2 linked regions of the Arabidopsis thaliana genome follow. The protein of the gene in region 1 purifies or fractionates together with the protein of each later gene. This does not show direct contact. Each region holds a gene or a part of one and is shown on either strand. Other genes may lie near its edges.

What was found.
Region 2: the proteins of AT4G17590 (region 1) and AT3G26480 fractionate together in Arabidopsis thaliana (co-fractionation; one large-scale study listed by BioGRID). This does not show direct contact.

Annotation. Positions count from the first base shown.
Region 1 is NC_003075.7:9,800,642-9,804,396, reverse strand, and holds AT4G17590 (NOL1/NOP2/sun family protein), read left to right. Parts: upstream 1-1,805; coding exon 1,806-1,824; intron 1,825-1,909; coding exon 1,910-1,984; intron 1,985-2,094; coding exon 2,095-2,276; intron 2,277-2,359; coding exon 2,360-2,428; intron 2,429-2,505; coding exon 2,506-2,583; intron 2,584-3,286; coding exon 3,287-3,388; intron 3,389-3,473; coding exon 3,474-3,554; downstream 3,555-3,755. Other genes in the region: LIL3:1 (Chlorophyll A-B binding family protein), read right to left, coding at 9-146, 245-638.
Region 2 is NC_003074.8:9,689,289-9,693,043, reverse strand, and holds the start of AT3G26480 (Transducin family protein / WD-40 repeat family protein), read left to right. Parts: upstream 1-2,077; 5' UTR 2,078-2,216; coding exon 2,217-2,336; intron 2,337-2,425; coding exon 2,426-2,602; intron 2,603-2,692; coding exon 2,693-2,839; intron 2,840-2,912; coding exon 2,913-3,258; intron 3,259-3,383; coding exon 3,384-3,502; intron 3,503-3,582; coding exon 3,583-3,660; intron 3,661-3,755.

The DNA of each region.
Region 1 (3,755 bases):
ACAAATACCATTTAAGAGTTCAGCTTCAGGTAAGTGGTATCTCTTAATCCAAGCCCACCATGGAATAATCGATGTATCGAAAAGCACTGGTTCGTCGTTACTCGTTGTTTCTGGATTCTCTTCTAGCCATTTTCTTCTCTTTGCCTCTTCAAATCAAAACACATTAAACATCAAATTCAAATTTCGAATTTTCACCAAAGTAACAGAGCAAAAAAACTTAACGAGGATCTAATTCTAATCTAACCAGCAACGATTACAGAATCCCAATCGGTTTTTCCATCTTTCTCGAACTGTTTCAGATCCCAAGTTCCATTAATCCATCTCGCATCCTGGAATTTGACAACACTCTCCGTTGTTTTCATCTCTTCACCTTCGACGGCGACATTTTTAGCGGTGGCGGTTTCTTCCTTTTTAACCGCCGGTGTTGATTGCGGAGGCTCTTTAACTATCACTTCCACGGGCTCAGGAGCCTCCACGGAGACGGCGGCGGTGGGAGAGGTTGATCCACTGTCGGAGGAAGCTCGAGTGACGGAGAGGAGAGAGAAGCGGTTACTGGAGAGGAGGGAGAATGAAAATTTGGGAATGAAATTGGGATTTTGAAGAGATGAAGAAGAGATTGGCGGGGAGAACAACGCCATTGTTGTGGTTTCTTCTTTACTTCAGAGTTTCACAAATCACAACTAGTGGTTCTAAATAGACTTGTTATCGTTTAAAGATGTAACATGTATGTCGTTTCTTTCTCCCAAATTGAGACTACGTAACGTGTTTTTTTTCCCTCTACACATACAGAAACAAAAAAGTGACTGTTATCTTCATGGGCTCGTATTAAAAGCCCATCCCAGTATTTTGGTGTTGTTATGAGGGTATCAAACAAAGAAAGTCAACACATTTACCTGATTAATCAAGCAAAGTTTTTATTATTATTTTGTATTCAACTAAGCAATGTACCTTACAATATTTTCCATTTTACAAACAATTTAAGGTTTAACTTTTTAAAAGGAAAAATTGTACTAAACTAAATTCATTAATAATATATTTAATTAAAATTTTAATTAATTTTTTTTTCTGCAAACTGAATTATATTAACCAATTGAGATTTTACAAAGTAGTTTTTGTAACCAAGGTGGTTGACGACCTGATTAAGAATAAAAATCTCCATGAATACAATTAGAGGTTGAGAGGTAATGAGCTATACTATTATTTACACGCTTTGTGAAGCCAAAGAAGATTGAAGAAATTTTTAATTAATTTAAAATTTTGAATCCCATAAAGTATGGTGAAAAGAAAGCTCAACAAAAATAAATTTGTAAAGAAAACATAATATTTCTTTTAAAACATAAAAAGCCTAAAAAATGAATTCTAAAATATGTTTTTTACCTTGATGCCCTAAGCCATGACTTCACTTGATTGTGTGGAATGTCGGGCTTGATTTATTATACATAAATGCATTGTATTTGTTATAATGCAACACGATGACCAAAGGATATATGAAGTTGATTTTCAAGTATGATTTGTATCATGTGTTATGATGAAAAGTGCTATTATATATTAGACTCTAAACTTAGTACTTGTTAAGACAATCTTAGTGAATTCCGGATTATAAATGTAGATTTGTCACAACCGGTTGTTACAATAGCATCTTATACAACTTAATTGTACGAGATAAGCTCACTTTCAGTTCTTTACCAATCTTGAATATGAGTGTCGGATAATCAAGGCGTCGCATAATCAAGGCATTTTGAATATGACTCTGGAGAACTCTTTAAACTAATCAAGGCGTTTGAGGAGCCGATGCCGACATATATATGGACGAACACTCTAAAGGTAAATTTGGTTATCCATTGTTCAATTGTTTAGTAAAGTTTTGAGATTATGCATTTTTATGATGAGTTTTGTTTTTTTGCTTAAGACTCGGAGAATATATCTTTCTCAACAGCTTTTGGACCGAGGATTTCACGTATGCCTGCTACAGAACTGGTCAACGGTAAGTATGCAAATTTTCTTCCTCTAGATTCACAACAAGTATTATGTTGTTCATACATACATGTACTTGATTCTTTCAAAACTGCTTGTAGCATGGACTTGTCATTGAAGATGAACCTGAAAGTCTTCCCATTGGGGAAACTCCTGAACATCTGTCTGGGCGCTTTATGGTAATAAAAGGTATAATATTTGCTAATGCGTCTACTGAACACTTGCTTGGTTCACTTTATGCCAATCTCCATCGAATGGGGATTACAAATACAGTTGTTTCCAATTACAATATCAATACAAAGGTTAGCTTCTTGAACCTCACTATTGATGATATTAAGGGTAATAAAAGTTCTGAAATAATTTTCTATTATTCCTTCCCGTTCAGCTATCTAGGGTTTTCCATATAAACTCAAAGGATATGGTGTTGGTGAATGCGCCTTCAACTAGAACTGGAGTAAAAATTCAACTCGTCTGTCATGTTTTAACTGAATTGTCAGGTTTTAACTCAAATGCTAACTTCTATCTATGCAGCTAATATCAGAATTTGGATCGATCAAAATGTCCATTAACGAAGAAGCTGACATACAACGCTTTGGTGTTTTGCAAAAGGTAAAACTTGCTTGGCTTTAACAATTAATGAGAGGTTATGTTTTTAACCATAATTATCTCATTTGACAGCAAAGCCAACAGATTTATCTGATTAATTAAGCAAACTTTTTTTTTAAAATTTTGTAATCCAAATCTAAGCAATGTACACCTTAGAATATCTTCCATTTTGCAAGAAATTTAAGGTTTAACTTTTTAAAAAAAACCAAAAATTTACTAAACTAAATTCATTAACAAATTATTTAATTAATTTTTTTATTAATCTAAAATTTTAAATACCACAATATATGGAGAAAATAAAGATTAACAAAATGAATTTATAAAAAAGACCTATAATATTTTTCTTAAAAAATAAAAGCCTAAAAATAAATTCTAAAGTATGCCTTTTTATTTTGATGCCTAAGCATAAAATGCATTGTATTTGTTATAATATAACATGATGACCAAAGGGTACATCAAGTTGATATTCAAGTATGATTTGTATCATGTGTTATGATGAAAAATGCTATTATATTAGACTCTAAACTTAGTACTTGTTAATCTTAGTGAATTTCGGATTAAAAAATGTAGATTTGTCACAATCGGTTATTATAATAGCATCTTATACAACTTAATTGTACGAGATACGCTCACATCAACTTCTTTACCAATCTTGAATATGAGTGTCTTTACCAATCTTGAATATGAGTGTCGGATATAATTATAGATAGTAGAAGGCGTTCACATGTCTGATTATGTTGACCAGCTTAAAGATGATATTGCTTCTCTTTATGGGTACAATAGGTTTCTTATTAGAACTTTGGCGGCAGTGATTTTCTCTGACTTTATTCTCCATGACATTCCTATCTCTGTTGCTAATTACTCATTTATCATCAACTGAAATTTCTTGTCAGACGTTTAGTCTTGCAGAACTCGTTAAACTAATAAAGGCGTTTGAAAAGCTGAGGTCTACATATATACGAAGAATACTTTAAAGGTAAACTTGGTTATCCATTGTTCAAGTGTTTAGGAAATTTATTAGGTTATGCATTGTTATGATGAGTCTTATTTTCTTTAAGACTCGCAAAATGTATCTTGCTCAACAACTTTTGGACTGAGGATTGGACCGAAGATTTCAGGTATTCCTGCCACAAAACTGGTCAACGGTAAGTATGCATATTTTCTTCCTCTAGATT
Region 2 (3,755 bases), on another chromosome or scaffold:
GTAACCTGGTTAGGATCTGTTCTCAAGGAATTGGGCATTCCTCTACTTGACACTCCAGAAATCTATTGCGACAATCTCTCCTCCGTGTATCTCTCTGCGAATCCAGCTTTCCACAAAAGAAGTAAACACTTTCAGCTACACTATCATTATGTTCGAGAGAGAGTAGCACTTGGAGCTCTGATTGTGAAGCACATACCTGGTCATCAACAGATCGCGGACATCTTCACCAAATCTCTCCCCATCAAGCCGTTCTGCGATCTTCGTTACAAACTAGGCGTCGATGTTCCACCTACGCCGAGTTTGCGGGGGGCTATTAGAGAGAATGCATCTTGTGTTGAGACAACAACTCGGATTGGTGAAGAGAAGAACCAGATCAGAGCTGTGATCGGACACGAAGCAGAGGAATCTGTAAAGGTAAATTCTTCAGATGACATTATCAAGAAGGTTCTGAGATTGGGCCAAATTGAGAATGCAGCAAACCTCAAGCCCAATAAACAACAGGCCCAAGCGCAGACCCTAAACAACTCTCAGCTCCAACGGTCATCTCCTGCAAAAGAAGACAAAACCAAAAGTACATCAAGATTGGATCAAAGGACAAAAACAAGGAGCTGTGCTGGAAAAGAAGGAGTGGTTTTACAAAACTGTTTTGACTGTCTAGGATCAATAGAGACCTGACATGTGTCAGTGAAAACCCTAGTGTCACTAAGATTATAATGCCTATGAAAGGAAACATGATGTAATCTTAAACCCTAAAGAGAATAATCAAGAGAAATGAAATTTATCTTCTTTATATTTAGCCTTTGAGCATCTTTACTTTCATTGGTTAAGAGAACACTGAAAGCAACAATTCATATGTATAAAAATCTGAAAAAATAATTCAACATTCTAATTCATTAAACGTAGGATTTACAAAAGTCCCACTTTGTCTCCCATTTTTAGTCATCGTTCATGATGGTTGTATGCGAATAGTTTGATGAACAACTATAATTATTACATTTAGTTTGTTTCCAACGAGCCATATGTCAATGTTTGTTACGCTACAATTTTTATTTTTCTTATTTCTTAAACTTTTTACTTTGGAATAAGTTGATATGTATATGAATCATCTACCATTTCTCGTTTTTTCACAATAAATCCTAAATTTTTTGAACATTTTGTCTATATATAACTTTTCCATGACATAAATTAACCTTAGATAATATTGTATCTAAAGGTATAAACTACCGTTCCAAGTCTGATTAAACTATTGACCCTAAACATTTTTAAAACTGTTAGATCCACAAGACGCACAACTAGTTGATTGCATAGTCTTTTGAAACAAGACAAACAAACACTATATCAAAACAATATCATCTTTCTAATTTTATTTTAGTTATGTCGCTATCTATATGAACGATTTTCCGATAAGCTAGTCATATGCAAAAGATTTATAAAAAAAGTAATATGTTGACGAGGAAAGTGATAGATTGATAAATTAAGAACATAAATGTTTTTGAAAAGAAATTATAGCTAAACTGTCATAAAATAAAATTATAAAATAGATTAACTTATATATAATAGAAGCAACTTCAGTTTTTTAAAACATTCATGGAATTAACGATGGATATCGAAGTTTATTGGTCAACCTAAAATCATACCCATACATTTTAGTATTTATTGGACGACCTCAAAAATCAAAGTCATTGTCGACCATTGTAATACAGTTAATGTCGCATACTATGCCTCTGAATCATCCATCCATATTTTGTTAAAACGAAGTGAGTTTGTTAACTACAAAATTTCCAATTATTGGACTATACATTATATTTTGTTTATCCACAGGGTTTTTCACATAAATTAAGAAAATACAAAATACTTAAGATCTTGAAAAATTATGTAAGTTATTTTCTTGCCGTCTCATTTTATTAAAGATAAAACAGAAAAAATAAACAAACAGGCCGAGGCCCAACAAGGTCAAGGCCTAGTCCAAGAAGCGAAACCCAAACATGGAGGAAGAGAATGAGAGGAGTCATCACAGAGCCAGGTGTTACGAAGAAAGTGAAACTACAAGTACAAGCATATAGTACTAAGTACTAGTCGCAATTTGGTCACAGACATAATTTCCTCGAAAACTGGGTACATTGTAATATTTCGTCGGAAAAACGTCGCAAAATCTAATTTTTAATCGCCGAGTAAGATGTTTGCGTCTTCTCAGAATCTCCGTGAGTTGAAGGAAAATGATTCGCGGCGGAAGAAACAACATTACTTCCGCTCCGGCGTTTTCGAAAGACGCAAAGAAGCTTCTTTTATGCACAGCCAACACCGTCTCTGTTTACAGCGTCGCCACTGGCTTAAAGGTTTTATCTCTCGACTCGAGCATCCTTCCTTTTAGGGTTTCCCTCTAATCTTCTTCTCTCATTAGCGTATGCGTGTGTGTGTTTTTAAGATTACTTCACTCGAGGATCATACAGCGCCTGTGACGTCTGTGATTGTTGATCCGTCTTCCGACGAAACCGTCAGTTACTGTTGGACTTCGTCGCTCGATGGGAAAATTCGGATTTGGGAGTTCTCTGCGCCGAAGCTTTTGAAGATATTTGATACCCACCTTCCAATTCACTCTCTGGTCTGTTAAAGTTCCATACTTTGCAGCTTATAAACAAAAATTTGATAACTTTCAATTGCCCTTTTCTAAGTGTCTGTTGGGACTTTGTAGGTGATGATTCCAGCTCAAGTGTCACATTCCGTGATTGCTTATGTTTCGGTTGAGGACTATTCAAGTGTGTCCAAAGATTTGTTTGGACAAATCCGGAGATATGATCTCACTCAAGACCCTCTTCATAGTGGAGACACTTTGAAAGAGGTCAGATTTGTGGATTAACCATTTTTCGATTAGCCTCATGTTTGATTCTATAATCATTTTTGTTAATGTGCAGATGGAAGAACCAAAACCTATTGTTTTAAGTCCCTCTGGAGAGTTTTTCGGCGTCTGTCATAACTGCAGTATACATATATGGAATGTGGCATCAGAGCACCTCATGCCAAAGGAGACGACATTACATCATACAGAGTTGATTACTGTTTTTGCTTTCCATCCCAATCAGAGAATATTAGCAGCCGGTGATGTAACAGGAAGAGTGTTAATTTGGAAGGATAATGGTATTGGAGAATTTACTTCAGTGAAAACTGAAGATGATACTGAATCTTGCACTACTTTCAACTGGCACAGCGCTGAAGTAACCGTCCTTAATTTCTCTTCAGATGGAGCACTTTTGTATTCTGGTGAGTCTGAGTTATTTTTTCATCATAGTGACTGTATCTCTGTGTGTTGATAAGGAATTCATGTTTCTTATATATATATATATTGAGTTCTTATGCTATATTTCCTTTGCTTGTGACTCTTTTAGGGGTAAAGGCAGGTGATTTTGTTGTTTGGGAGCTAGGTACAGGGAAGAAGCAACTTTTGCCAAAGATTGGATCTCCCTTGTTGTATTTCATCTTCTCTTCAGATTCAACTCTTTCTTCTGTAAGAGTTTTTCCGTTTACAACAACCGTAGAAAGCAAATGAAGTGTTTCATTAACTCTACTAAGATCAAGAATTTTCAGGTGATTTGTGCAGATAATCAAATTCATCTTCTTAAAATGCCTTCCATGGAGATATTGAGAACGATATCTGGAATCAAGGTTCGTTCTTACTATCATCCGAAATTTTTCCTTGTTATTGTTGGTTTAAGCATGCTCATATTGTATACCGTTTCTGTTGGAGTTAACTTCACATG